Anolis sagrei: one gene and its partner. The protein of the gene in region 2 interacts with the protein of the main gene of each other region in a pairwise test. Links are inferred from orthologs where the notes say so. Each region holds a gene or a part of one and is shown on either strand. Other genes may lie near its edges. The genes, in order: FAM13C and CCDC172.

Evidence for each region.
Region 1: the proteins of CCDC172 (region 2) and FAM13C interact in binary tests that used the Homo sapiens proteins (3 or more experiments, as listed by UniProt). The two-hybrid records come from large-scale screens. The link is inferred for Anolis sagrei from reciprocal best matches to the Homo sapiens genes CCDC172 and FAM13C.

Annotation. Positions count from the first base shown.
Region 1 is NC_090023.1:164,355,669-164,372,437, forward strand, and holds the start of FAM13C (protein FAM13C), read right to left. Parts: upstream 8,329-16,769; 5' UTR 8,036-8,328; coding exon 7,971-8,035; intron 1-7,970.
Region 2 is NC_090023.1:204,784,685-204,800,425, reverse strand, and holds the start of CCDC172 (coiled-coil domain-containing protein 172), read left to right. Parts: upstream 1-8,783; coding exon 8,784-8,862; intron 8,863-10,767; coding exon 10,768-10,853; intron 10,854-15,741.

The DNA of each region.
Region 1 (16,769 bases), about 40 Mb from region 2:
CAGAAAATACTGGAAGGGTTTGGTGCATATTGACCTTGAGTTTTGGAGTTGTAGTGTGTAGCCTGTTGTCAACCTTTGCAACCCGAAAGACAGTTGCATCTGTCAAGTAGGAAAATAAGGTACCACCTTAAAGTGTGGGGAGGCTAAATTAACTGATTTATGAGGCCATAAAGAAGACTCCAGCAAAGCATTCCAGCGGGGAAGCATACGGGGAATGCAGAAGTGCTTCATCAGCCTCGCAGATGAACGATGAAAGCGACAGCTCACCTGGCGGCCAGAAAAAAGTTAAATATAGCCTCTGTGTATGTCTGTATATGTTTGTATGTCAAAAATTGGCATTGAATGTGTGCCATATATGTGTACACTGTAATCCGCCCTGAGTCCCCTGCAGGGTGAGAAGGGCGGAATATAAAAGTTGTAAATAATAATAAATAATAGTTCACCTGCATCCAGAGAGCACTGTCAACTCAAACAATGATGGATCTGGACCAAGCTTGGCATGAATACTCAATATGCCCAAATGTGAACACTGGTGAAGTTTGGGGGAAATAGACCTTGACATTTGGGAGTTGTAATTGCTGGGATTTATAGTTCACCCACAATCAAAGAGTCCCTTGAATGCCACCAATGATAGAATTGGGCCAAACTTCCCATGACCAACAGAAAATACTGGTGGTCTTTGGTGACCCCTCTGACACCCTTTCGTGACCCCTCCAGGGGTCCCGACCCCCAGGTTGAGAAACACTGCTCTAAAGAGGATGCTGGATTCAATAAGCTGGATTTCTTTATTTGCATAACCAAAACATAGGTAAATATGGTTGGGGGCAGGGGGCACCAAAATACTGTTTGCTTACCGTTGAAAATTACCTAGGGCTGCCTCTGTTCAAACTACATAGAATTTTTTAAAGTGTCAGAAACATATAAGGAACAATTACAGTATCTGCATCTTTCCAGTTTAGAGTGGAAAAGCAGCTGGAGGAGAAGCATCATAGGGGTTCAAAGGATTAGGCACAGTGTATTAAAGTTTGTCACCCCCTGATAATTCTAGAACACACAATTGCCTAATGAAAATTAATCAGCAGGAAAGTCGGGATAGATAAAAGGAAGCATTTCTTTATATAACACAGAATTAATTTATGGAATCCACTGCCACAAGATGAGCCACTAACTGCTAGTCTAGGGAATTATGCAAATCATTTTATAATAGTAAAGAAGAAAGTGAATCACCACACTTACACAATCATGAAATTTAGACATCTAAAATATGGTGTATATAGTAGGAAGATTCAGGCAGTATTAAATAGCCTAACCATGCCTAGTGTGTAGCATAGGGAAGGGTTAACAAGGGTTAACAACCCTGTGGTAGGGCTGGGCAACCACGAAAAATTTGTTTCTAAACTCGATTCGTTTTTTGGGGTTTTTTGCGTTTCGATATTTAAAAGAATTCCGATTTTTTTCTTTACAAAAATTACGAAACAATACGAAACGAATACGAAACGAATACGAATCGATTCGTTAATGGCGGATGCGACCGCGCAATACACTAAAAAACCTCCATATGGGACAGGGGGAACTTCTGAAGCTTCCCCCTCCCTCTGTTGTTGACTGTTGGTGTGATATTTATAAAAAAATTTCACTGATTAAACAAACAACAGCTATAAAACTTGCCCCGGACATGCGAAAATAATAACGAAACGATTTCGAAATGATTTCGAAACGAATACGAAACGAATACGAAGCAATTACGAAACGAATTGAAAAATTCGTTTCATTTTTTAGATGCTCCTGAATGGTTCGTTATCGCTTTGTAACCAAAAAAATTACGAATTTTTAACGAATTACGAAATTACGAAACGAAACCGCCCAGCCCTACCCTGTGGTGTTTATGTTGCCATCTCCGCCCCTATTCAGAAGATTACCTTGTTGTAGAAACAAGAACCGATGATAAGACTTCAGTGGAGACACCTTTCCCCCATGATAGCTCTTTCAGAAATGAATTTCCCATCCTAGGAGTTGATTTCTCTCACTTTCTGTTGTCTCACCCCTGTAAATTTGACTTTTGTAACTCTGTGCCTGTACACAAATCAGCAAAGCTGTGATCAAAGGACACATATGAACTGACTATATCATTCCTTCAAACTATAGCAACTACAAAAACTCACACCACCAAAGGGAGGAACACAAAAGGACCAGAACAGTAGAGTTAGGCCTTCATTAAGGGCAGGGGGAAAGTGGGAAAGTACCATGCCTTCCTCAGACTCTTCCCTATATCTTGCATAGACATAGCTAACAAGGGCACTGCAAAAATGACTTATGTAAGGAGCAGTAATTGAGTTGAACACTTTTAGAGTAATCCTAGGCTTGGAGTACAGCAGGGATGTCAAACTCATTTTCACTGAGGGCAACCTCAGCCTTATGGTTGCCTTTAAGGGGCCATTGAATCCATGCATGGAGAATCCATGGATATGGATAGTCAACTATCATTGTTTTGCATAGTGGTTGGTGCTCTTTTGTTTTTACCCAGCTTGGGTCCCCAGATGTTACTGAACAACAACTCCTATCACTTTTGATTATCCGCCATGCAAACAGGTAATGATGGGAATGACAACCAAACAGCATTTGTGTGTCTGTGGTTGGGGAGAGGTTAAAAGGCATTTTAAAGTCTGACATCATATCCACAAGCCTTGTATCTCAATTAAAACCACACTCTTCTAACTAAAATTAACAAACTGCAGCCTTCCAGGTGTAACTGTATCACTTATCAGCTCTAATCATGATATCTAATGATGAGGAATATAGTAGCTGTAGTCGAGCATCTGGAGGGTCACATGAAATTATATTACGGGCCAGATTTGGCCCATGGGTCTTGGCACATGTGGTGTAGAGGGTAATCTACAAAACACACGGCATGTTGAATGATCATATTATCACAATTTTTAGTTTGGGAGGGAAATTCTAATAATTTCAACCTTAAAACATTTAAAGTCAACACATGTGCAGGGAAAATAAGAAACACTGTAGGGACATACATTGTCACACATACCGAATATTTTGGATTTATTTACTTGCTTTGTGGGAAGATACTACTTTGAAAGCTAAATGATACACTATGTTAGGCAAAGATGAAAGGCAAAGATACAGAATGGGGGACACGTGGCTAAAGAGCAGTATGTGTGAAAAAGACCTTGTGGTCCTCGTGGACAGAAAGTTAAACATGACTCAACAATGTGATGCAGCGGCAAAAAGCCAATGGGATTTTGGCCTGCATCAATAGGAGCATAGTGTCTAGATCTAAGGAAGTAATGCTACCCCTCTATTCCGCCTTGGTTAGACCACATCTGGAATATTGTGTCCAATTCTGGGCACCACAATTGAAGAGAGATATTGACAAGCTGGAATGTGTCCAGAGGAGAGCAACTAAAATGATCAGGGGTCTGGAGAACAAGCCCTATGAGGAGCGGCTTAAAGAGCTGGGCATGTTTAGCCTGAAGAAGAGGAGGCTTAGAGGAGACATGATAACCATATCCAATACATGAGAGGAAGTCATAGGGAGGAGGGAGCAAGCTTATTTTCTGCTGCCCTGGAGACTAGGATGTGGAACAATGTTCGGCAGTGGAAGTCTCTGCCCCGGAGAATGGTAGAGGCTACTTCTTTGGAAGCTTTTAAACAGAGGCTGGATGGCCATCTGTTGGGGGTGCTTTGAATGCAATTTTCCTTGGCGGGGGTTGGATTGGATGGCCCATGAGGTCTCTTCCAACTCTATGATTCTGTGATTCTATGTAGGCCGCATTCCAGCAGTGGCCATAAGAATGAAAATCCTCTTCATTTATTTATTTTATTTATTTTATTTCCACTCCTTTCTACAGAGCTAATCAGTCTCACCCCTTCTGGTACTAGTGTTGGAGAGTGGTCCCTGGTCAAAGTGGGCACCAGTCAAAACAAGGTTGAGAACCACTGCTTTAAACATGAGGAAGAACTTCCTGACTGTGAGAGCCGTTCAGCAGTGGAACTCTCTGCCCCGGAGTGTGGTGGAGGCTCCTTCTTTGGAAGCTTTTAAACAGAGGCTGGATGGCCATCTGTCAGGGGTGATTTGAATGCAATATTCCTGCTTCTTGGCAGGGGGTTGGACTGGATGGCCCATGAGGTCTCTTCCAACTCTTTGATTCTATGATTCTATGATTCTATTATTATTATTATTATTATTATTATTATTATTATTATTATTACTTCAGGTATGATGGTGATAAATCCTACCATTCTGGCAATGGAAAATGCACTTGTCTCATAAACAAATGCATAAACAGCTTTCCTTTCTGCTGATCTCAGTGAAACCTTGTATTTTCTAGTTCCAAAAACATAACAGCTTGAAAAGGGGGTGGGGGACTAGACCACAATGTTTCATGTGGCATAAATACTGTTAAGAATCACAAACACCACCAATAGACTCAGGAGAAAATATTACACCTGAAGAGAAAGCAAGAGCACTACATTGTGTGTAGACAATAATGTGTTTGTGTGTATCTCTATCTCAATAAAATATAGGTAGTTGTGTACACGTTCAATATGCGCTATCCAGAACGCCAAAAATAATTGTTCACATGGATGGCTGTGATAGTGAAACCTTTCTGGTGGTTTGGTGAATACAAACTGTGTTTCATGTGCAGCATCATCTTACAATGTTGTGCCGTAAAATATATTTCTATGGTGTCTGTGAAACATAAATGACTTTGGGTTGTTGTAGGTTTTTCAGGCTATAGGGCCATGTTCTAGAAGCATTCTCTTCTGACGTTTTGCCTGCATCTATGGCAAGCATCCTCAGAGATTGTGAGACCTCATAACAACCCAGTGATTCCATCCATGAAAGGCTTCGACAATACATAAATGACTTGTGAGGTCTTACAACTTCTGAGGATGCTTGCCACAGATGCAGGTGAAACGTCAGGAGAGAATGCTTCTAGAACATGGCCCTATAACCCGAAAAAACCTACAACAACCCAGTGATTCCATCCATGAAAGCCTTCGACAATACATAAATGACTTGTGAGGTCTCACAACTTCTGAGGATGCTTGCCACAGATGCAGGCGAAACGTCAGGAGAGAATGCTTCTAGAACAGCGTTTCTCAACATGGGGGTTGGGACCCCGGGGGGGGGGGGGTTCTGTGTGGGAAGGTAGGCCTAATTCTATCTTTGATGTGGTTCACAATGCTCTTTGATTGTAGGTGAACTATCAATACCGACAACTACAACCCCCAAATGTCAAGGTCTATTTTCCCCAAACTCCACCAGTGTCCACATTTGGGAATATTGAGTATCCATGCCAAGTTTGGTCCAGATCCATCCTAGCTTGACCCTTCTAGTGTTTTCTGTTGGTCAGGGGTGTCCTGTGTGCCAATTTTGGTTCAATTCCATCGTTGGTGGGTTTCAGAATGCTCTTTGATTATAGGTGAACTATAAATCCCAACAACTACAACTCCCAAATGACAAAATCCTAATTTTTCAAGTGATGGTCATTCCTTGTGTTGTGAAACATTTTGTTGCCAAATTTGGTGTGATTTTGTTCATTGGTTCTTTTATTTTTAAGGTACTCATTATGCACAGAGCATTTATATATATATAGATATAGATATAGACAGGGGCGGCTCATCCATTACGCGAAGTAAGCGGTCGCAGAACACTTTTTTTTGCCAGGGGCGCAGAGGTGCCTCAGTAAATGCCCCTCAACCGCCACTTGAGGAGCGCCCCCTCAGCTCGCAACAGCCCTAGCAGTCCAGGGGGAGCCTCAGCTTATTGCCTCGCTGCCGGGCGATCCTCTTCCCAAAGGGGCCGGGCCCTTGAGCCTCGCCTAGCCCCTCTCGTTCCTGCTCCACCCGGCCACCGGGTGCGCGAGCAGAGCCGGCGCTCAATCGTTCTCCGCGTTCGATCCCTTCCCCATGACCGGCTCCCTTTCCCGATCCCCCGGCGCTCCACCCGCCTCCTCTCCTCTCCCCAATCCGCGGGTGTGCCAAGGGGCGGAGCGGCCGCGCCTGGCCCACTTTGGGTCCGGAGGCGTGTCTGAAGACCCCAGCGTGCGCACCAAAAGTTGCCTCTTCTCCTGACTTTCTCTTCAGCCATTAGGACCAAGAGAGAGAGAGAGAGAGAGCCCCTCCGGCTGGAGGTATCTCCCACCTCCGCTCTCTCCTTTGTTTTTGCGCCTACCTTCAGGGAAGGTGGGCATCTCCACCTCTCTCTCTCTCTCTCTTGGTCCCAATGGCTGAGGAGAAAGTCAGGAGAAGAGGTGACTTTTGGTGCACACGCCGGGGTCTTCAGGCACGCCTCTGGACCCAAAGCAGGCCAGGCAATGGAGCAAGTGCGGCAAGTGTAGTTACTAGGATGTATAGTTCACCTACAATCAAAGAGCGTTCTGAACTCCACCAATGATGGAATTGAACCAAATATGGCACACAGAACTTCCACGACAAACAGAAAAAATATATATCAGTGATTGGTTGGGGGGGGGGGGTGCGCCAAAATACTGTTTGCTTACTGTTGAAAATTACCTATATAGATATATAGATATAGATCAGTGGTTCTCAACCTTGCTAATGCCGTGACCCCTTAATGCAGTTCCATATGTTGTGGTGACACCCAACCATGATATTGTTTTTGTTGCTATTTGATACCTGTCATTTTACTACTTTATAAATCGTTATGTAAATATCCGATATGCAGGATGTATTTTCATTCACTGGACTAAATTGAGCAGAAAAACCAAATATGCCCAAATCTGAATGCTAATGGGGTTGGGGGAGGATTGATCTTGTAATTTGGGAGTTGTGGTTGCTGGGATTTATAGTTCACCTATAATCAAAGAGCATTCTGAACTCCACCAATGATGGAATTGAACCAAACTTGGCACACAGAACTCCCATGACGATTAGAAAACACTGGAAGGGTTTTGTGGCCACTGACCTTGAGATTGGGAGTTGTAGTTCACCTATATCCAGAGGAGTGCTGTGGATTCATGCAATGATGGATCTGGACCAAATTTGGCATGAATACTCAATATGCCCAAATGTGAACACCGGTGGAGTCTGGGGAAAATAGGCCTTGATTTTTGGGAATTGTAGTTATTGGGATTTATAGTTCACCTACAATCAAACAGCATTCTGAACTCGACCAACAATAGAATTGGGTCAAACTTCCCACACAGAATCCCAATGACCAACAGAAAATACTATGTTTTCTGATGGTCTTTGGCGACCCGTTTGACACCCCCTCACGACCCCCTCAGAGGTCCCGACCCCCCGGTTGAGAAACACTGATATATATCAATGATTGGTTGGGGGGGGGGGCGCCAAAAAATACTGTTTGCTTACTGTTGAAAATTACCTATATAGATGTATAGATATAGATATTCAAGCATGTCTCGCTCCCTTCCCTGCCACGAACACACTCTGTCCACTCATGTAACCAAACCCAGTGGCTATCGAAAAGATCATGCACATACTGAAGCCTTGTACACTGGATATGTTTGTGGGGTTTTTTTTCCGATGGGTATTGTGAGTTCTTCCCTCCTGCTGGCATGATGGCTGGCAGGCTCTTAAAAAAGCCTGGCACCCTCCTTACTCACTGCCATGCCTCCTTAATGGCATTTCAAGGCTGGTGTGTGTGTTTTCCCCCTCATTGGTTCCAAGAAGATGCCCTCAAATGTCATCTCAAGGTGCAAAGCCATGCAAGTGAATGTAAAGGAGGCATTTCAGAGAGATAGAAAGACAGAGAGAGAGAGGTTGCAGGCATTGTGTGCCAATTCAGGCAGGTTGATCATTCAGGGAAGGTATAATGGTTGGCTATTGGGAAGGAAGGAAGGAAGGAAGGAAGGAAGGAAGGAAGGAAGGAAGGAAGGGAGAGAGGCTTGTCTGCCTTTCTTTCCCTGCCCAGCCCCCAGCAGAAGCCCCTGGTTGCGCTTGGAGCGAGCAAAGCAGGCACTTACTCGGGCAAAGCAGCCGGGCTGTTGAAGGAATGGTTCTGGAGGCTGAAGCAGAAGCAAGAAAACATCGGAGGCAGATCAGCAGGGCTGGCGGGCGGGCGGGCGAGGTCTCGCTGGGTGCTCGCTCTTCACGGCATGGCAAGGGGAGCGGGGATGGCAAAGGGAGGAGGAGGAGGAGGGGAGGCGGCAGGCAAGGCAGGGATGCGCGGCTCCTCGGAACCCTGGCCTCTTCTGCACATGCTCGCCGCCCAAGGAACCCCCGGGGAGGCAAGGCTGGCCTCCGAACCACAACGCCCATCAGGCATTGCTCCCGCTTTGGCTCCGGCCTTGGATGCTGATGCTCTTCCTGCACGAGCCCAACTCCAAAGCAGGGAGGGAGAAGAGCACTCCAGGCCAGACACACCAAGGGCTGGGTGGGAGCAAGCCTGTCGCCCGATGTATTTATTGCTTCTTCTTCTTCCTTTTGTGTTAATTCTTTATATTGGGGCCAGATTATCCAACCTAATTCTCTTCTTTGGCAAGAAACCCATAAAGGTGTCTTTGTTATAGAATCTACTAGCTGAACCCGCCACGCGTTGCTGTGGCCAACCTTCCCTCCCTCTTTCTCTCCTCCCTTCCCTCTTTCCTTCCTTTCCTCGTTTTCTTTCCCTATCTCTCTTCTTTCTTCCATCTCTACCTGTTTCTTTCCTCCTTTTCTTTGCTCTTTGGTTACATACTTCCTTCCTTCCCAGAGGCGGCCCTAGGTAATTTTCAACGGTAAGCAAACAGTATTTTGGCGCCCGCCCTGCCCCCCCAACCAATCATTGATATATATTTTCTGTTTGTCGTGGGAGTTCGGTGTGCCATATTTGGTTCAATTCCATCATTGGTGGAGTTCAGAATGCTCTTTGATTGTAGGTGAACTATACATCCCAGTAACTACACTTGCCGCACTTGCTCCCTTGCCTGGCGCGCTTTGGGTCCGGAGGTGTGCCTGAAGACCCCGGTGTGTGCACCAAAAGTCACCTCTTCTCCTGACTTTCTCCTCAGCCATTGGGATCAAGAGAGAGAGAGAGAGAGAGAGAGAGAGGTGGAGATGCCCACCTTTCCTGAAGGTAGGCGCAAAAACAAAGGAGGGAGCGGAGGTGGGAGATACCTCCAGCCGGAGGGGCTCTCTCTCTCTCTCTCTTGGTCCCAATGGCTGAAGAGATAGTCAGGAGAAGAGGCGATTTTTGGTGCGCACGCTGGGGTCTTCAGACACGCCTCTGGACCCGAAGCGGGCCAGGAACGGCGGCTCCGCCCTTTGGCCCACCCGCGGATCGGGGAGAGGAGAGGAGGCGGGTGGAGCGACGGGGGATTGGGAAAGGGAGCCGGTCATGGGGAAGGGATCGAACGCGGAGAACGATTGAGCGCCGGCTCTGCTCGCGCACCCGGTGGCCGGGTGGAGCAGGAACGAGAGGGGCGAGGCGAGGCTCAAGGGCCCGGCCCCTTTGGGAAGAGGATCGCCCGGGAGCGAGGCAACAAAACCAAGGCTCCCCCCGGACTGCTAGGGCTGTTGTGAGCTGAGGGGGCGCTCCTCAAGAGGAGGTCGAGGGGCATTTACAGAGGCGCCTCTGCGCCCCTGGCAAAAAAAAAGTGTTCTGCGACCGCTTACTTCGCGTAATGGACGAGCCGCCCCTGTTCCTTCCCTATCTCGGGAAGGTGGATCTGGCCAGGGTGGTCCATGCCTTAGTCACCTCTAGATTGGACTACTGTAATGCGCGCTACGTGGGGCTGCCCTTGAAAACGGCCCAGAAATTCCAACTGGTTCAACGGGGGGTGGCCAGGTTAACTGGTGCTCCTTACAGAGAGAGGTCAACCCAGGCATGTAGCCAGGGGGGGGGGCTCGGGGGGCTTCAGCCCCCCCCCCAAATTTTCATGGTGGTTCGCGAAAAGGCCTTACTGGTGCATTATTTAAACTGTTATGTTTATTCATATCATGATCTGATCACCATACTTAATATATCCCATATGCATGGGGGTATTGGGGTAATGATACAAAAGGTTTGCTAGGCTAGACCCTCTTTCACTCAGACTCAGCCCCCCCCCGAAACGCAGCCCCCCCGAAACCCCCCCTGAAAAAAAATCAGCCCCCCCCCCGAAACGAAATCCTGGCTACGGGCCTGGGTCAACCCTCCTGTTTAAGAAGCACCATTGGCTGCCATTCATTTTCCAGTCCCAATTCAAGGTGCAGGTGCTTACCTACAAAGCCCTAAACAGTTTGGGACCCGCCTACCTTCGTGACCGCATCTCCATATATGAACCCACACGATCTCTCAGATCATCTGGAGAGGCCCTACTCACGATCCCACCTGCATCACAGGCGCAATTGGTGGGGACCAGGGATAGGGCCTTCTCTGTGGTGGCCCCCCACCTCTGCAACTCTCTCCCCAAGGACATCAGACAAGCCCCAACATTGGCAGTCTTTAGGAGGAGCTTGAAGACATGGTTGTTCCAGTGTGCCTTCCCAGAATAGGAAACTCCAAGCATCATATCCCTAAATGCACTTTACTAGAGATTTACAATTGTCTGCACATTGCACCTATCTCCAAAAACCTATCTATTTCACCTGCCATGCCCAGCATTTTAAAAAAATTTAATCATTACATTGGCCCGGCTTTGGTTTTTAAATGTGTCGTGGTATTATTGTCTATTGTTATTTGCTATTGTTTTAATGTTTATTACTGTTTTGTGAGGTTTTTTTTGTTGTATTTGTGATGCTGCTGTTTTTGTGATGTTTGGGCCTCGGCCTCTTGTAAGCTGCACCAAGTCCTTCGGAAGATGTTAGCGGGGTACAAACAAATGATGATGATGATGATGATGATGATTATCTTTCGTTCCTTCTCTCCTTTCTTCCCTCTCTTTTTCCTTTCACTTTTTATTTCCTTCTCTCCTTCCTTGCTTCTCTATATTTTTTTCTTTCCTTCTTTCCCTCCCTCCTTCTCTCCTTCCTTCCTTTCCTCTTTCCCTCCTTCTCTCGTTACTTCTTTTTTATTTATTTATTTATAATCTTTATTCAGTTTTCAAATACAGTTAAAAAAAATAAAAACTTTGTAGCGAAGGCTACTAGTAAAAGAGATATAGGGTATGTGTATATATCAGTTCCCCGAAATATGAAATGATATAGTGACCAAAAGATAATAGACAAGAGAGACAGGAGAAATAGAGAGATAGCAGGGGAGGGAAGAGAGGAGAAGTGTAGCCCAAAAGCCCCATATAAGACAATAATAACAAGAAAAAAAAAAGGTTTCTTGCTTTCGACTTCCCGAGGTTTTCATAGGGTCCTCTTTGTCGTTCATCCAAACCTCCTCCTCTTCTCCTTCCCTTTCTTCTCTCCTTGTCTTCTTTCTCCTCTTCTTCCTTTCCTCCAACTCTTCTTCAATTATATCAGGATTTTTTTGTTCCTTTGCTTAAAATAACCCGTCACTTTTTCCCAGTTTGTTTCCTTCATTTTTATTCCTTTACTTCTTGTTATCAAAAATGTAAGCCAGTCCATATTTCTTACTTCCAAGATTTTTGTGAGTCTCTCATTTTCGTCTGGCGTATCTTCCTGCTTCCATCTTCTAGCATAAGTTATCCTATCCTTCTCTCATTACTTCTTGACTGTCCCTTCCATTTAATATTGTATTTATATCTTACATAGAAAGAAGGAAAGGAAGAAGGAAGGAGGGACATGAAGGAAGGAAAAAGGAAGGGAGGGAGGGAAAGAAGGGAAGGAAGGAAAAGAAAGAAGGAGGGACAGGGAGGGAGGAGAAGGAAGGACGAAGGAAGGAAGGAGGGAAAGAAAGGAGGGGAATGAAGAAAGGAGGGAAGGAAATGAAGGGGAAGGAAATGAAGAAAGGGAAAGAAGAAAGAGAGGGAGGGAGGAAAAGAAGGAAAGGAAGAAGGAAGGAGGGACAGGAAGGAAGGGAAGGAGGGAAAGAAGGAAAGGAAGGAGAAGGAAAGAAGAAAAGGAAAGAAAGGGAGGAAAGAAGGGAAGGGAGGGAGAGAAGGAAGGTCCTTCATTCAAGCACCGTGGCCAAGTCTGGTTTCTCAAGGCACATCATCCCCTCAACCCAAACAAGTAAAGGATAAAGCACATTGCATAAACATATTACATAAACATATAAAATAAGCATAATAAATAATGACATTTATCACCATTAAAAATCCCCGGGCCTCAGGCCACTGAGGTTGTCCTTAAAACATTATGCTAAAAAATCTTGAAGCTCTGAATCTTTGGCTGTGTAAACCTTGCCAAACCAAGATAGCTTTAGTGTTGAGTCTTGGCAATAATCACTAGTTGCCTAGTCATAGCTTAATATCGGTTGCTGGTGAAGGCCTCCTTCTAAGATTTCAACCCAAATGGTTCAGCAGATTTCCCTGGTGAACCTACTCATTTCATGTACAAGGTGCACTCTGTAAGTACAGTGTAGTGTTTGAAGGATAAGTTGGGGGTAAAGGTGGTCATCAGAAGCTTGGTGCATTGGTTGCTAAACCATTTGTGCAATGGAAAAATGCATTCGAAGTCTTCAATAGCCACCAAAAACGGAGTACCATCAGAACAACTTGTGCTTGGCTGAAAACTTCTTGCTAATTCACAGTGGAAAACATCTTGATGATAAAGGTAATAAGAAGAAAGCAGAAGAAAACAGAAATAAAACTTCTGCCAATTGTGGAAATTATTGTCCTTTGTGGCCCACAAGAACTGGCTTAAAGAGGGAACAATGATTCAGGACCAGTTACCAGAGGAGGGCGACTAAAATGATCAAGGGTAAGAGAAGCAATGAGAAAGGGGGCTTGTGGAAGCTTCATTAAGACCAGTTGTTTGGCCTCTTTGCCCCATTCCTCAAAGACAAAAAGGCAGGGGAACAAGAAGAGGCCAGTTCTCCACACACATCACCTTTAGCAGGGCAGCAGTTTGCTAAACTTGAGATTTTGGAGGAAGAGGAGGAAAGTCTAGAAGGCATGATCATCAAGTTTGCAGATGACACCAAATTGGGAGGGATAGCCAATAGTCCAGAGGACAGGAGCAGAATTCAAAACGATCTTGACAGATTAGAGAGATGGGCCAAAACTAACAAAATGAAGTTCAACAGTGACAAATGCAAGATACTCCACTTTGGCAGAAAAAATGAAATGCAAAGATACAGAATGGGGGATGCCTGGCTTGAGAGCAGTACGTGTGAAAAAGATCTTGGAGTCCTCGTGGACAACAAGTTAAACATGAGCCAACAATGTGATGTGGCAGCAAAAAAAGCCAATGGGATTTTGGCCTGCATCAAGAGGAGCATAGTGTCTGGATCTAAGGAAGTAATGCTACCCCTCTATTCTGCTTTGGTTAGACCACATCTGGAATACTGTGTCCAATTCTGGGCACCACAATTCAAGAGAGATATTGACAAGCTGGAATGTGTCCAGAGGAGGGCAACTAAAATGATCAAGGGTCTGGAGAACAAGCCCTATGAGGAGCGGCTTAGGGAACTGGGCATGTTTAGCCTGAAGAAGAGAAGGCTGAGAGGAGATATGATAGCCATGTATAAATATGTGAGAGGAAGCCACAGGGAGGAGGGAGCAAGCTTGTTTTCTGCTTCCTTGGAGACTAGGACGCGGAACAATGGCTTCAAACTACAAGAGAGGAGATTCCATCTAAACATGAGGAAGAACTTCCTGACTGTGAGAGCCGTTCAGCAGTGGAACTCTCTGCCCCGGAGTGTGATGGAGGCTCCTTCTTTGGAAGCTTTTAAGCAGAGGCTGGATGGCCATTTGTCAGGGGTGATTTGAATGCAATATTCCTGCTTCTTGGCAGGGGGTTGGACTGGATGGCCCATGAGGTCTCTTCCAACTCTTTGATTCTATGATTCTATGAAATTGAGGAAATTTGTGCTACTTGATGAACCTTTCCAAATGGGATAATCACCATAAAGACCTGTATGCTTTTCACTCTGATTAATCCGTCCTAAATGGTCACTGATGAAGTCCTCTCCATGTTTTTTACACTTCTGTTAAATTTCACATCCCACCCACTCACTTCTTATTGTATATAAATGCATTTAAAGAAGTGGGCTGCAGTTCACAAAATCGTGTGTCCGTTAAAAACACTGTTGTCGTTAAGGTGCCACACGTGTCTTTCTTCAACTCGTTCACCCAGAAAAGAGGGGTCAAAATTGTAATATTGTTGAACTCCAAATCCCAGCATTCCCAATTATTTATTTATTTATTTGCCACACTTTTATCCCGCCCTTTTTATCCCAACTCAGGGCGGTATACAGACTGGCAACAATTAGATGCCGAACATGCATAAATACATCATTTAAAACAGGTTAAATCACATAATAAAATTCATATTAAAACAATTTAAAACTATTATAGCTATGCTGGCTGGAGTGATGGGAGACTACAGAGCCTTGGAGGCACTGTACACCAAAGCATGACAGTGGGACATTCAGGTTTTCTTCTAATACTTTAAAGAAGCTATCCAAAGTGCTGAATCCTAATGCCCAAATAGGTTCACCAGACTGGTTAGCTGCTATTCAATCCCCTCCTGATATGGGATCCACCGCCCATCACTGGTCAAGAGGACAGAGATTTCCTTCCATCTCTTAACAAATAAGCCATTGGTTTATATTTATATTACAACTAGAATTCAACTGTGGAGGAATTAAATTCTTGCACTGCTCCTTAAGGTGGTTTGATTCATATGATTGTTGAAAAACAAGGCTGCACAGCCTGGGACAGTGATTTTCATGCATAAGATCTTTATACAAAATTGCACTGTGTGTCCAGTAATCGTGTTCCCTGAATCTACAATTTGGTGATGGATCTGGGCATTGTATGTTTTTACCCTGTTTCCCCTTCTGCTCCCTCACCCATATTGTGTTTTTAGTAGTTGTATTTATATTTTTAATGTACCAAACATGCCAGGTTTGTATGGAAATGTGACACTATTTCCTGTGCTGGTCAATGACCGAAATAAATGTTTTGATTTGATATACAAAATTGCAGTATTTGTTTGTTTGTTAGTTTGTTTTCTTCCATAAAACAAGAACTGTGTTTTTTTAAAAAAAAAAAAGAGAAAAATTTTGTCCTTTTCTTTTGACATCCATGTGATCCATCAAACAGGGGGAAATTCTCAAATAAAAATGTTTCTTCCATGTTGCTATAGAATCAAAGAGTTGGAAGAGACCTCATGGGCCATCCAGTCCAACCCCCTGCCAAGAAGCAGGAATATTACATTCAAATCACCCCTGACAGATGGCCATCCAGCCCCTGTTTAAAAGCTTCCAAAGAAGGAGCCTCCACCACACTCCGGGACAGAGAGTTCCACTGCTGAACAGCTCTCACAGTCAGGAAGTTCTTCCTCATGTTCAGATGGAATCTCCCCTCTTGTAGTTTGAAGCCATTGTTTTGTGTCCTAGTCTCCCGGGAAGCAGAAAACAAGCTTGCTCCCTCCTCCCTGTGGCTTCCTCTCACATATTTATACATGGCTATCATATCTCCTCTCAGCCTTCTCTTTTTCAGGCTAAACATGCCCAGCTTCTTAAGCCGCTCCTCATAGGGCTTGTTCTCCAGACCCTTGATAATTTTAATCACCCTCCTGTGGACACATTCCAGCTTGTCAATATCTCTCTTTAATTGTGGTGCCCAGAATTGGACACAATATTCCAGGTGTGGTCTAACCAAAGCAGCATAGAGGGGTAGCATTACTTCCCTAGATCTAGACACTATGCTCCTCTTGATGCAGGCCAAAATCCCATTGGCTTTTTTTGCCGCCACATCACATTGTTGGCTCATGTTTAACTTGTTGTCCATGGGGACTCCAAGATCTTTTTCACACGTACTGCTCTCGAGCCAGGCATTGTCCCCCATTCTGTATCTTTGCATTTCGTTATTCCTGCCAAAGTGGAGTATCTTGCATTTGTCACTGTTGAACTTCATTTTGTCAGTTTTGGCCCATCTCTCTAATCTGTCAAGATCGTTTTGAATCCTGCTCCTGTCCTCTGGAGTATTGGCTATCCTTCCCAATTTGGTGTCGTCTGCATTTAGCCCTTCATTTAAGTCAGTGTTTCTCAACCTTCCTAATGCCACGACCCCTTAATACACTTCCTCATGTTGTGGTGACCCCCAACCAAAAAATTAGTTTCACTGCTACTTCATAACTCTCATTTTGCTCCTGTTATGAATCGTAATATAAATATCTGATATGCAGGATGTATTTTATTCACTGGACCAAATTTGGAACAAATACCCAATACACCCAAATTTGAATACTGGTTGGATTGGGGGAGGGTACTGATTTTGTCCTGTGGGAGTTGTAGTTGCTGAGATTTATAGTTCACCTACAATCAAACAGCATTCTGAACTCCACCAACGATGGAATTGAATCAAACTTGGCACCCAGAACTCCCATGACCAACAGAAAATACTGGAAGGGTTTGGTGGGCACTGGCCTTGAGTTTTGGGAGTTGTAGTTCATCTACATCAAGAGAGCACTGTGGACTCAAACAATGTTGGACCTGGACCAAACTTGGCATGAATTCTCAATATGCCCAAATATGAACACTGGTGGAGTTTGGGGAAAATAGACTTTGACATTTGGGAGTTGTAGTTGCTGGGATTTATAGTTCACCTATAATCAAAGAGCATTCTGAACTCTACCAACTATTGAATTGGGCCAAACTTCCCACACAGAACCCCCATGACCAACAGAAAATACTGTGTTTTCTGGTGGTCTTTGGTGACCCCTCTGACACCCCCCTCATGACCCCTCTAGGGGTCCCGACTCCCAGGTTGAGAAACACTGAT
Region 2 (15,741 bases):
TTGTGTTCCAATTAAAGTGTTCAGCAATCTATAATCGAGTCTCTACATTGGTGGTTTAATATTTAACTGAAATCCGGATGTATGGCTACATAACGGTACACTATCTGAACTCAAATTCAACAGTAAATTCTAAAGTATAGTGTTTATGACATAGCCTGGCCCTTCTTTGATCCGGATGCAGCAACTGATTTCAACACAGGGCCCATCCAGACAAGCCTTCAAACTGAGACCAAATGACGCCTCTGGTAAAACCAAATTAATTAGATACCCTATTAGATCTGGGCATTCCTGAAAGACCTGGGTCTAATGGGGTATTGGGCCTGTGGAGATTCACAACTGGGTAGTCCTGGGAGCAACCCACAACATTGACATCTCATATCTTTTGGGCTTCTGCAGCCCAAAGGTGTGAGATGGTACCCACTCATCCCCCAAAACCCCCAAATAACCTCTAGAAATGAAAGAAAACTTACTGGGCCACCATTACATCCTTCCTAGCGCTCTCCTGGAGCGAGGAAATGACGTGCCAGAATACTGAGAGAGGGGGGTGGAGTCAAGGAGGGATTTTCTTCTTCACCCCCATCTCCTGGCATGTAATTTCCTTGTGCCAGGAGAGCACAAAGAGGGATGTAAAAACTGAGTAGGTTTTATTTTATTTCTAGGGGTTATTTTGGGGGGCTTTGGAGTGGAACCCCCCCCCCCCCAGGAAAGCCTGGGTTTTTGAGGTGGCATGGAGACTTAAACCCACGCTGAAGCAGGTTTCTTAAACACGCTTCGGTGTGGTTCAAGGCCTGTCTGGAAGCGCCCATAGACTCATTTACATGGCCTAAAATAAAACTGAATATTCCTTTGTGGAATGTAAAACTTTAATAGCTTTATGGCAACAAAACTCCTCTCCAGTTTAGCCCTGTAGTTTGTAACCTTTGGCTCCTGTCATTCATCAGGATGCCTTCTTGCATCTAGAACACAACCTTCAAGGAATGTCTATTCTGTACAAGTGGCTGTCTAGACATGTAGAAAATGAAATCAGTAAAGATTTATTACAAAGCAAATAAAAATAAACATCTATCCTTATGACAGTTCCACACATACAGTGCACATCCACCCTTTTTCAAATGAAGAAACACATTCCTCTGAAGTCTCTCTACTTCTTAGCTCCCAAATCCAGACTGCTCCCTTTCATCTAACTAGTTCTTAAACATTTTCTGACTCTAACTCTATTCCATCCTGCTCCCATTTCTTTCTTAATGCAGTTTGACACCACTTTGACTACTATGGTGGCAGCCAGGTTATTAACTGGGGTGAGCTTTAGGGAGCATACCACACCCCTTTTAAAGCAAATCCACTGCCTCCTGACAAGTTTCCGGGCCCAATTCAAAGTGCAGGTGATTACCTATTAAACTCTATACGTTTTGGGTCCAACCTATCTTTGAGACTGCATTTCCTTCTACAAACCGGCACGGGTGTTAAGATCTGCCTGGGAGGCCCTTCTCAGTCCCACCACTCTCTCAAGTACGGTTGGTGGGAAGGAGAGAGAGGGCTTTCTTGATGGCCCTGGAATACCCTCCCTAAAAAAATTAGATTAGCCCCCTCTCTTCAGGCCTTCCAGGTGAGTCTAAAACATGGCTCTTCAAACAGGCCTTTGATCCTGAGTAATCCATGGTCAACATGATGAATCATTGATAGTACTGCCTTGCACTTTGATTGTTATGTTGGGTAGTCAGATTACCTGCAGGTTCTACTGCATTTTAGGTAAACTGCCTTGAGTCGCCTCCGGGCTGAGAGGGGCTGTATACAAGTATAGTAAATAAACAAACAAACAAACAGCTCTGCCCACTTTAAAACAAACAAGCTTCATGTGTAGTTTGGCTGCCACTCAGCTAATCTGGGTGTCCTTTGCTCTGTGTGACAGACTGAGGCTTGATCTACACTGCCGCTCTGAGTCCCCTTCGCAAATAAATAGAATAGAATAGAATCAAAATTATCAAAGTAGATAATGCAAATTATCTACTTTGAACTGAGTCTATACTACTATTCAAAGCAGATAATCTGGATTTTATATGGCGGTGTAGATGGGGGCCTGTGTTAAGCTCCTGTCGAAAGAATCTGTCCAGGAATTAGAAATCATGCATGTGCTTCTTATATCACATGTATGGAAATAATGCTTCCATACCTAAAAACTTCACACCACAAAATCCAGACCCCTTACGTTTGTGAACTTCAGTGCATTTCAGTACATATTCAGCTCCTTGTCTTTCAAGGAAAATTGAGATTGTAAGAAAGGGACAAAGTGAAAACAAGAGAAATGTTTAGGGGTACAGTCAATTGACAAATGTTTTCACAAACTCAGACATCTCTCTCAAACTCAGAACAGGAGGATGTTATCTCATGGAAACCATTTTTTGAACTTCATTCAGATAAGGGTTTTAGCATAGCCATTTACTTTAAATTTAAATGGCAATTTAACATAGAGACAGTAGTTAATCTCCCCCCTTCTAACATAAATGCATTTGAAATGAGATGTCTTAGCATATTACCATTTATGTTAATGCCTCTCAACTAACTTTCCTATCTGTGTATAAAATAATACGTATAGGATAGATTCACATGATAAATCAAGCCAATGCATCATCATTTTGCTATATAGTTAATTTATTATGGTTGGCAGTAAGCAGCTAATGGTTTGTTCCCTTCCAGCACACAAAAGAATGATGCACAGAACAAGCCCTTGTTTGTTGGATCTTGGGAGAGAAAGGAAACCATCTATTACCAGATGAGATGATAAACCAACCACAGCGCAAACTCCATGGCCCCATTCACACTGCTAAATAAAATCCAGATTTTCTGTTTTGAAGTGGATTATATGGCAATATATACTAAAGCCCCTTCTACATTGCCATATAATCCAGACTATCAAATCAGATAATCCACATTATCTGCTTTGAACTGGAGTATATGAGTCCAAACTGGCAGATAATCCAGTTCAAATCAGACAATCTGGATTTTATATGGCAGTGTAGAAGGGGTTTCAAATAATTCAGTTCAAAACAGGTAATATGGATTATTTTATTTGATAATCTAGATTATATGGCAGTGTAGATCCAACCTGATAGAAGACTCTTTCACACTAACACAGGCCCCTTCCACACAGCTGCATATAATCCACATTGAAGTGGATTATATGGTTTTGTGGACTCAGATAATCCAGTTCAAAGCAGGTATTGTGGATTATCTGCCTTGATATTCTGGGATATATGGCTGCGTGGAAAGGCCTACAGTCATATCATTATATGCTTTCACCTTAACTACCATGGAAACATCCTATAAAATCCTCATATTAGCAATTCACAGTCCCTTGCCAGAGTGATTCAACAAACTCCCAGAATTCTGTGGGTTCATCTACACTGCAGAATTAATGCAATTTGATACCAGTTTCAGTGCCATGGCTTAATGCTGTGAAATTTTCAAACGACAACTCCCAGAATCCCATAGCATTGCGCCATGGCAGTTAAAGTGGTGTCGAACTGTATTAATTATGCAAAATGCATACATTCTACAATGTAAGTGCACTCTGTGTCTAATTAAAATCAACAGGATTAAAGTTATGTACCATATCTCATTGATTTCAGTGGATCATCAGCCACAGATATTTAGTAAGCATTTAGAAGCAAAGGAGCTACGGATGGATGGGAACTTCTCAAGAGTGAAATACTCAAGGCGCAATTGCAAACCGTGCCAACAAAGAGAAAAAATAGGACAAGTGCAAAGAGGCCAGAATGGATGTCCAAAGAACTTCTAACTGTGCTAAGACACAAAAGAGACATGCACAAGAAGTGGAAAAAGGGAGAAATCACCAAAGAAGAATTCAAACAAATAGCCAACACCTGTAGGGAAAAGGTCCGCAAGGCTAAAGCAAAAAACGAGCTCAGACTTGCCAGGGACATTAAAAACAATAAAAAGGGCTTCTATTCTTATGTCAGTAGAAAAAGGAAAAACAAGGAGGCGATAGGACCTCTTCGAGGAGAAGATGGGGCAATGCTGACAGGGGATAGGGAAAAGGCAGAACTACTTAATGCCTTCTTTGCCTCGGTCTTCTCACAAAAAGAGAGTCTTCAACCTCAGCAAGATGGAGTGGATGAGGGATTGGAGGACATCCAACCCCAAATTGGGAAAGAAGTCGTCCAGGAATACCTGGCCGCTCTTAATGAGTTCAAGTCCCCAGGGCCAGATCAACTACACCCAAGAGTACTGAAGGAACTAGCGGAAGTCATTTCGGAACCATTGGCAACCATCTTTGAGAGTTCTTGGAGAACGGGAGAAGTTCCAGCAGATTGGAGGAGGGCCAATGTGGTCCCAATCTTCAAGAAGGGAAAAAAGGATGACCCAAACAACTACCGTCCGGTCAGCCTCACGTCGATACCGGGCAAGATTCTGGAAAAGATTGTTAAGGAAGCGGTCTGCAAACACTTAGAAACAAATGCAGTCATCGCTAATAGTCAACATGGATTTATCAAAAACAAGTCATGCCAGACTAATCTGATCTCTTTCTTCGATAGAGCTACAAGCTGGGTAGATGCGGGGAATGCCGTGGATGTAGCGTACCTGGATTTCAGTAAGGCCTTCGACAAGGTCCCCCATGACCTTCTGGCAAGGAAACTAGTCCAATGTGGGCTAGGCAAAACTACGGTGAGGTGGATCTGTAATTGGTTAAGTGGACGAACACAGAGAGTGCTCACTAATGCTTCCTCTTCATCTTGGAAAGAAGTGACGAGCGGAGTGCCGCAGGGTTCCGTCCTGGGCCCGGTCCTGTTCAACATCTTTATTAATGACTTAGATGAAGGGCTAGAAGGCATGATCATCAAGTTTGCAGACGACACCAAATTGGGAGGGATAGCCAATAGTCCAGAGGACAGGAGCAGAATTCAAAACGATCTTGACAGATTAGAGAGATGGGCCAAAACTAACAAAATGAAGTTCAACAGTGACAAATGCAAGATACTCCACTTTGGCAGAAAAAATGAGATGCAAAGATACAGAATGGGGGACGCCTGGCTCGAGAGCAGTACGTGTGAAAAAGATCTTGGAGTCCTCGTGGACAACAAGTTAAACATGAGCCAACAATGTGATGTGGCGGCAAAAAAAGCCAATGGGATTTTGGCCTGCATCAATAGGAGCATAGTGTCTAGATCTAAGGAAGTAATGCTACCCCTCTATTCTGCTTTGGTTAGACCACATCTGGAATATTGTGTCCAATTCTGGGCACCACAATTCAAGAGAGATATTGACAAGCTGGAAAGTGTCCAGAGGAGGGCGACTAAAATGATCAAGGGTCTGGAGAACAAGCCCTATGAGGAGCGGCTTAGGGAACTGGGCATGTTTAGCCTGAAGAAGAGAAGGCTGAGAGGAGATATGATAGCCATGTATAAATATGTGAGAGGAAGCCACAGGGAGGAGGGAGCAAGCTTGTTTTCTGCTTCCTTGGAGACTAGGACACGGAACAATGGCTTCAAACTACAAGAAAGGAGATTCCATCTGAACATTAGGAAGAACTTCCTGACTGTGAGAGCCGTTCAGCAGTGGAACTCTCTGCCCCGGAGTGTGGTGGAGGCTCCTTCCTTGGAAGCTTTTAAGCAGAGGCTGGATGGCCATCTGTCAGGGGTGATTTGAATGCAATATTCCTGCTTCTTGGCAGGGGGTTGGACTGGATGGCCCATGAGGTCTCTTCCAACTCTTTGATTCTATGATTCTATGATTCTATGATTCTATGATTCTACAATAAATAAATAAACAAACATACTGTACCTTCTGTTGAAGATGATGTTCACTCTTGAGACAAAAAGGATGCTTGCTGCCACCTGCAGTTGGTAGAAATATTGGTGTTTAAAATATGTTTTTATTGTTAATACATTTATTTACATCCTACCTTTCCCCCAAAACGGATTTGAGATGGGTCAAATACATATAAAAGCAGAGAATACACACAACCATATTACCCAGAATATCATGAGATAACCCAAAATATCTGCTTCAACTGAGTCCACACTGCCATATAATCCAGTTCAATGTGGATTTTATACAGCTTTGTAGAAGGGGCTTGTGCATAATCCAGATTATCAAGGCAAATAATCCAGATTATCCGATTTGAATTGGATGAGTCTACACTGCCATATAATCCAGTTCAAAGCAGATCATTTGGATTATATATGTCAGTGTAGAAGGGGCCTTAGATTGCAATTCTATACACCCTTCCATAGGATTATGCCCTATTGAACTCAGCAAGGCCAATTTTGGACCAGAATTGGGATTTTTAGGGTGCATAGCATATACACTGTAGAATTAATTCAGTTTGGCACCCATTTAATTGCCATGGTGCAGTGCTATGGAATTTTGAGATTTGTAGTTTGGTGAGGCATCAGCACTCTTTGGCAGAGAAAGTCCAAGACCTTGTAAAACTACAATTCCCATGTTTCTATAGCATTATGTCATGGTAGTTAAAGGGGTAGCATTAATTCTACAATGTAGATCAGACAAGGGCAAACTTGGGCCCTCCAAGTGTTTTGGACTTCAACTCTCATAATTCCTAACAGCCTCAGGCCCTTTCCTTTTCCCTCAGGCCCCTTCCTTTTTCCCCTAGAATCATAGAATCATAGAATCAAAGAGTTGGAAGAGACCACATGGGCCATCCAGTCCAACCCCCTGCCAAGAAGCAGGAATATTGCATTCAAATCACCCCTGACAAATGGCCATCCAGCCTCTGCTTAAAAGCTTCCAAAGAAGGAGCCTCCACCACACTCCCGGGGCAGAGAGTTCCACTGCTGAACGGCTCTCACAGTCAGGAAGTTCTTCCTAATGTTCAGATGGAATCTCCTCTCTTGTAGTTTGAAGCCATTGTTCCGCGTCCTAGTCTCCAAGGAAGCAGAAAACAAGCTTGCTCCCTCCTCCCTGTGGCTTCCTCTCACATATTTATACATGGCTATCATATCTCCTCTCAGCCTTCTCTTCTTCAGGCTAAACATGCCCAGTTCCCTAAGCCGCTCCTCATAGGGCTTGTTCTCCAGACCCTTGATCATTTTAGTCGCCCTCCTCTGGACACATTCCAGCTTGTCTATATCTCTCTTGAATTGTGGTGCCCAGAATTGGACACAATATTCCAGATGTGGTCTAACCAAAGCAGAATAGAGGGGTAGCATTACTTCCTTAGATCTAGACACTATGCTCCTATTGATGCAGGCCAAAATCCCATTGGCTTTTTTTGCCGCCACATCACATTGTTGGCTCATGTTTAACTTGTTGTCCACGAGGACTCCAAGATCTTTTTCACACGTACTGCTCTCGAGCCAGGCGTCACCCATTCTGTATCTTTGCATTTCATTTTTTCTGCCAAAGTGGAGTATCTTGCATTTGTCACTGTTGAACTTCATTTTGTTAGTTTTGGCCCATCTCTCCAATCTGTCAAGATCGTTTTGAATTCTGCTCCTGTCCTCTGGACTATTGGCTATCCCTCCCAATTTGGTGTCGTCTGCAAACTTGATGATCATGCCTTCTAGCCCTTCATCTAAGTCATTAATAAAGATGTTGAACAGGACCGGGCCCAGGACGGAACCCTGCGGCACTCCACTTGTCACTTCTTTCCAAGATGAAGAGGAAGCATTAGTGAGCACTCTCTGTGTTCGTCCACTTAACCAATTACAGATCCACCTCACTGTAGTTTTGCCTAGCCCACATTGGACTAGTTTCCTTGCCAGAAGGTCATGGGGGACCTTGTCGAAGGCCTTACTGAAATCCAGGTACACTACATCCACGGCATTCCCCGCATCTACCCAGCTTGTAGCTCTATCGAAGAAAGAGATCAGATTAGTCTGGCATGACTTGTTTTTGATAAATCCATGTTGACTATTAGCGATGACTGCATTTGTTTCTAAGTGTTTGCAGACCGCTTCCTTAACAATCTTTTCCAGAATCTTGCCCGGTATCGACGTGAGGCTGACCGGACGGGGGCTTAAGCGGCTGAGGGGGAAAAGGAAGGGGCCTGAGGGAAAAGGAAAGGGCCTGAGGCTGTTAGGAATTGTGGAAGTTGAAGCCCAAAACACCTGGAGGGGCCAAGTTTGCCCAGGCCTGGTGCAGATGCACCCTCAGTGCCAATTTTGTATTTCATCCCTAATATTCAAATAGCCTTCATCCACTTGGCACCTCCTAGATGTGCTGGGCTACAACTCCCATCACCGCAGAAAGTTATGTTTGGGGATGGTAGGAATTGTAGTCCAACACATCTGGAAACTTCAATCTTGGAAAAGCCTGCAGTATTCCTCAAGAGTGTGCAATAAATGGTTCATGCCGAACTGTACCATTTCAAGTTGTGGGTGAAGAAACCATAACTTTTGTATTATTGCCCTCCTAAAAAGCTCCCTGTATGCAATAGATTACTCCATAGTAGAGAGAGAGTAGATTAAATCTATTTCTTCCAATTTCTAGTTTAATAAGTGTCACATATTTTAATTTATTTACAAGGGGCATATAATAGGATCCCCCCTAGAGTCCAAAATGGTTCTGTCCAAATTCCTCTCAGTTTGGTTTACTGACAGAAATTGTGTGAGGAGGGGATGGTTCAGTTGAGAGAAACAGGGCAACTTTTGGAGTAACCTGGGCCCATTTTCCTTCTTTATATTAGGATACACACACACACATATACATATACACACTTACATACACAGATATATACATATATGGTATTTACACACACACACACACACATATAGATATATTCTCCAAGGACAGTCAGAGGAAAAATGAGCCTGGACTCCTTGTTTCAGCAAATCCTCCTGACAGAACAAAAGGCAGGGGAGAAACGGCGCCTCTTGCAACAAGGTTGGCCGCCATCTTCTGTCATTTTAGGCTTGGATGTCTAACTAAAGAGGCCTGTCATTAGCCATTTTAAAATAAAGCTAATTCATTTCTCCAGTCGTGCTGAGTTTGGGGGTTGTTTTGTTTCCCAGTACTGCACCACCCATTGCTAAATAGGCAGCTTAAAATGGAATGTAAACCTTACTCATCTGCACAACACTGTTTGCATTTAGGAAATCTATATAAATAAAAATGTAATGTTCGTTTGTGGGATTAACAGAACTCAAAAACCACTGGACAAATTGACACCAAATTTGGTCACAAGACACTTAACAACCCAATTTATGTCCTTCACTTAAAAAAATGATTTTTTTCAGTTGGGAGTTGTAGTTGCAGGGAATTATAGTTCACCTACAATCAAAGAGCATTCTGCACTCCACCAATGATGGAATTGAACCAAACTTGGCACACACTTCTCCCATGAGCAGTAGAAAATACTGGAAGGGTTTAGTGGACAGTGTTCTTTGGTTTTGGAGTTGTAGTTCACCTACATCCAGAGATCACTTTGGACTCAAACAACGATGGATCTGGACCAAACTCTACACAAATATTCAATATGCGCAAATGTGAACATTGGTGGAGTTTGGGGAAAATAGAATTTTGACATTTGGGAGTTGTAGTTGCTGGGATTTATAGTTTTCCTACAATCACAAAGCATTCTGAACCCCACCAACGATAGAATTGGCTCAAACCTCTCACACAGAACCCCCATGCGGGCCACAGCAACATGTGGCAGGGGACGGCTAGTCAATAATAATAATAATAATAACAACAACAACAACAATAATACCAACATTGAGGGAAGTCAATAGTAGTAAACTGCTTCAAGTGCAAAAGACAAAGAGTGAATACCATAAAAACACAATCCAGAGCAATAGAGAAAACTGTCAAAAGAAGTCTCTCCATGGACAGTTCCTGGGAAAAATTGAGAGCCAAATTGACAAAGGAAAAACATGGAAGTGGCTCACAAATAAAACTTTGAAAAAAAGGAGATGGAGGGCCTGATTCCGGCAGCCCAAGAACAAGTCATTAGAACCAATGCCATCAAAGCCAGAATTGAAAAGTCAACGACAGATCCCAAATGTAGACTCTGCAAGGAAGCAGATGAAACAATAGATCACATCCTCAGCTGCTGCAAGAAGATCACGCAAACAGACTACAAGCAGAGGCATAACACCGTTGTTCAGATGATTTATTGGAACCTGTGCCATCTGCCTGCGACAAAGAACTGGTGGGATCACAAGCCAGAAAAAGTTACAGAAAATGAACACGTCAAACTCCTCTGGAACTTCCAAATTCAAACAGACAAGAGTTCTGGTTTCTGGGTTATAAATGTCATTTCCTAATTGGTTCTGTCATACAAACATGGAAAAGCTTATTAAACTGCAAAAACCTGGCTTTCTCAGGACATCCTGAAGCACATTTTGCTATAGTTTTTCAATGAACATCTCATAGAGTTTCAACCAATTCAATGCAGTTTGTGATAGCCACAAAAATGATGTTTCTGGAGTATATCAACTAATTTTAAAATAAGAACTGCACAATTAAACAGGAAATAACACTTTCAAACTAGGAACAAAATTTGTTTCAAATTTTGTTACACAGTGTTATGAATGTACAAACATGTACTTATAGTGTGGACTGGATAGTCTTTCAGTCAAAGTGACTGCAGAAAGAAAACCTGGAACATGGGACCTGAAGGGGCCTGAAGGCAAACTAAAAGAGTTGCAGTTAATACATTTGTAACCATTGTGCAATCCTTTCAAACAAAGTTTTTCCGAGTGATGAAATTAATCATACAAATATTGAAGTGAAGGTATGAAATAGACAACTTAAACCCTCATAACGTAGACTTCTTTTTTGTTTCAGTTAAACAAAAAATTACACAAGGACATGAAAAAGCTAAAATATTAAGGGAACAACTGGATGAAGCAAAAATAAAACTTGAAGAAGAGGTAGGACAATACCATGGTTATTACATCAGATTAATTGACTTGGTTGAAATAACAAAGCTCATATACGTTAGTATACTGTGTGTCCATATGAGCTGTGCTTTCCAATATGTATTCCTCATTTGCTGGTCCATTTCAGGCAGAAAGTTCTTTCTTGGAATTTCTGAAGTACAACTAATATTTTAGAAAGTTTGTATTATTATTTTTTATTTAAAAATCTGTATTTTGTGCAGAGCATTGAGCATACACAGATTATTGAAGTTCTCCATTCATGTTCTATTTACACTGCCGTAAAAATAAAATTCTTCACATCAAGAACTGCATTAATACAATAACATAGAAAACATAGCGAGGAATCCACAATCTTAATGTGAATAAACCTCCCCCTCTTTTTCCATAAAAGCTATGTAATCGTTTGGGTCCCATTAGCTTATTTTGTGAGGAAGTGTTGTCTGGGCAAGTACTTTTAATAAGCCCTATAAAACTAGCATAGAAAAATGATCAGATACTTTCCCGATCTGGGGGGGGGGGGGGGGGGGGGGTAATAGTTTCTGAACAAATTTTTGACAAACTTCAGACAATTTGCCCATGCCTCAATTCAACGAACAACTTGCCTTAATGTAACATTTCTGCTTTCTCTCTGGTTTTTCTTGTTTTGAAAATGTTGTTCTTTGGTTCTTGGAGCAACATGTCTTATCTCATTTGTCTAAGGGTGCATTTACACATGCCACATAATCCAAGATAGTTAGGAGTTCTTCTGACCTTCGTGGTCATCTCTTGTGGCAATGAAAGAATGATATGGGCCAGAGTCATCACATTTTGTGAGTGTACCTGGACTAGGAAAAAGGAAATGGCAGTGTTTGCCTATACAGACAGCAGACTGGCTTGATTTAGAGATGGTTCTGTCCAAACTAACCCTGAAGTGTGGGATTACTCTGGAATTTTAAGAAATTTCGGCCCAAGAAATTTTTGCGTCACCCCAAGAACACTGGTAAATAATATAGGTATAAAAACCAAACATTTACTGATAACAAATCAACATTCAAGGCTTGCTAAACAGGCTTATTTTTCTGTTTTGAATGAAGTATAGCTGAAGCATCTTCTGCAGAGTCTACTGTAAACCCTGCACAACAGATTCATGTAAATGTCTAAGGACCTTATCAGTTGGCCCACTGTAAAGTGGGGGACAGTGGGGGAAATCATGGGGTAGCGTAGAGAACTGCCTCGCTGTGTTCCCTACTGTTGAGACTTGGTGCCCACCAAACCCCTAGTATCTATGTTTTAATCAGAAGTTATAGGCATGGAAATTAAAATGCCATATCTTTAATTTGGAGAGCAAAATCATTGGGTGAGCAACAGAAAAAAATAGTGCCACGCAGCTGAGAAGTAACTTAACCTTTTTATAGTAGACGTTTCTAACATTTCTAAACATGTGCATGCAAGCCTTTCCCCCCATTCACATCTGTCTTGGCTTCCTTTGTCCTTTTCTCGGTACTTCTTATCCACAACATTTCCCCCTCTCTTCCCCCATTCCTGTACTCCCTTTCCCTTCTCTCTAGGTCATAAAGTCCTCCTCTTGAACCTTTTCCCCACTTTCATTTCCTGCTGTGCTGCTCTTTTGGCTAGCAGAGAATTTCTTCTTTCTTTTCAACTTCTCAAATTCTCCCCTCCCTTCTTAACCTTATTTGGTTTTGTTAGCAAATTTCATCCTCTTCACTACCATTGGGGTCCATGGTACCCCTTCCCACTATGTTTCCCCACTGTCCCCTGCTTCCTTTTTGGCTCCTCTGCTGGCATGGAGCCCCACGTGATGTGATGGTCTCCTGGGGAACTCCATACTGGCAGTGGAAAGAAGCAGGCAGAAGGCACTTCTCTCTCTGCATGTGATGAGGTAATTAAACAGCCACTAGATGACTTTCAGAAAATGTTTACTATGGCCAAAAATTTGAGACCCCAACATTGAGCTAAGGAAATACCATTTGGGGTCAGGACCCACAGTTTAGGAAGCAGTGGTATAGACAAACCTAAGTTCTATTTAGAAACTTTATTTTTCAAGCAAGCCACTGTCTAATGTAAAAGGAAGGTTGACTTCATAAAGAAATACATAATTTACAGAACTTTTCAAAAGTATTTGTTGTGTCAGCTTGACACCCTGCTCATTTCCTGACCTCAGACATAGTGGTAGGTCCAGGTCACAGAACAACAATCGCATTGTCTTTAGTTCATTGTGTTACTACTTGTAAAACTAATTTGTGACAATCATAATTTTATTCCTTTGCTGCTATTTTGCAATTGACTCACTCTAATTAACAGTTTCAGTAGCTATATAGGGTCATGAATGTGTGGGAATAATTACTGTGAGTTACTAATAGGGAGAGGTAGAAAAGCATTTCTAAACCAATTATGGTCTTAAAACTACATAATTAATTACCTGAAGGTCAATGCCTATTAACTTCCATGTTTGGTTAGTCTCAATTTATTTTTCTGAAGACTTTGCACTTTGCAAGCTTGGGAAAAACCAATATGTATTACCTGCACAATAAATACTCAGTGTTGTTAAAATTATTACCACTTACTACTATGTGTTTAGTACAGAAACATATAAGCTGTTCACTTTAATGACCTATAGTATATATGTTGTGACTGATTTCCAGTACATCCTATATGCCTTTTTCAAATTCCTCTATAAACTTTGCTCTACATTTTCATGTGTTCCTTGCAATCCCACATCTGTAAACACAGGGGCATCGAAAAGAGGAAAAATAAGCTATGTATTTGAGTTCAAAGAGCTTTTCACATCTATTTCACAGAGACTAGTTGTGGTCAATGAAATGCACCCAGGAAATATAAATGTTGGCGTGTTCCAAAAAACCTAGGCACCATATAATTAGAACTTGAATTATAGCATTTTGCCTTTCAAGGTTCAAGTTTCCCTCTTTTAAAAAATGCTGTTCTAAAGGATATATTGGGCTTAGGGCAGAATCCTATACTGACTGTTTGCTTAGACAGCATAAACTCCAATAATCTTTGGGCAGCATATTTCAACAATTTCTGTGATGATATCAGTGATGGTAATCTCTTCCTTGGCAGAAAGGATAGCTTACATCAGTCAAGGTGCAGAGTATTTCCTTTCCTTTTTAACCACCCTGTCTATTTTCAAGGCTCCCAAAATTAAGCTCTTCCTGGGTGTCAGCAAGGTCAGTCATTTTGCATGCAAGAGTTTTGGAAAGTTCAGACAAGTTGCTGGCTTTCCATCTCCGAAGCCCCTTCTTAATCTCAGGCACATATAAATTGCCCTGAACAAACTCCATGGTATCTCTACTTGCTGAGCAACAGAAAAGAAGCTCAATTGTCTGGGGACAGATAATATTCGCATTTCTTCATGACAGCTTTTTTGTGCTTAGCACAAAGGAGTGGCATTCATATTTCCTGCAAAAGATATTCATGAAAGTGAGTGGTAGTTCAACCAACAATTGATAGGACTCTACCTGCTTTAGTATACTTGCTGTTTGCATTTTAAAGAGGGGCATTTAGAGAATCAAGCCTCTCTGTTGATATTATTTTTGTTGTCATTATTCATGGACAATCACATGTGGCCAGATACTATTGTCTTCAAGAGGTAGATTCTTGGTGGTGGATCTATATGTGACTATGAAGGTCTATGGTCAACATTTTCTAGCCTTAACCATTAAGATTGGTTTGTGCCTGCTAGTAGAACACTTTTCTTGATGTTAAGTGAAAGGCCAAGATGTTCACATGCTTCTGTGAAGGTTGCCCTTATTATTGTGATTCTTGATTCTGTTTATACCCTTACTTCCTTCATAAGAGACTTGTAACATCATTTTAGCCCCATCGACACTACCGTATAATCCAGTTTCTGAATCCATATTAGTTGCTTTGAACCAGATTATACAGCAGTGTAGATGATTTATTTATTTATTTATTTATTTATTTATTTACAGTTTTTATATTCCGCCCTTCTCACCCCGCAGGGGACTCAGGGCGGATTACAGTATACACATATATGGCAAACATTCAATGCCAGTTTGACAGACAACGAATACAGACAATACACAGAGGCTATTTAACTTTTTTCTGGCCGCCAGGGGAGCTGCTGCTTTCATCGTCCATGTTACACGTCTCTTATGTAAGGCCACATCTACACTGCTATATTATCCAATTTCTGAATCCAGATTATCTGCTTCAAACCACATTATATGAAAGTGTAGATTCACATAATCCAGTTCAAAGCAGATAATCTGGATTCAGAAACAGGATTATATGACAATGTAGATCCAGTCTAAATGTTATTATATCTGAGAAGTGTCTAAAATAGCAGGGGATTAAGGAGTGTTTAGCCAATTTTTTAAATTTCTGCTTGTATATTTGTGAAATCGATTTCGCTTATAATGTAGAAACAGTCACACAATAATCTTCCACTTTTAATAAGTTCCAGCATGTATAATTTAACTCATTTGTTTTATCCTGTTTGAACATCCCTGAATACTACGCCTCTAGAAAGTGGGGGGAAAGATACGCCATATGTTATAGATAAGAGTTTCTGGGAGCTCAATCCTTGCTCCTTAATGATACAACAAGAAATGATACGACAAGAAAAGGAAACCCTTCCAAACATGGCAGAGAGACATCAACTGTGCTGCTAAGAAAAAGATCTACGCCAGTGCAAAAGCTGAGGTCCAAAGAAGGACCAGAGAACTCAAGATCATCTGGTGGACAAAGATGGCCGAAGAAATCCAACACCTGGCAGATACCCATAATGCTCAAGGATTTTTCAAAGCCACAAAGGTCATCTATGGACCAAGAAACCATGGCATACAGCCTCTATGCTCATCAGACGGAACCAAACTCCTGAAGGACCAAAAGTCAATTG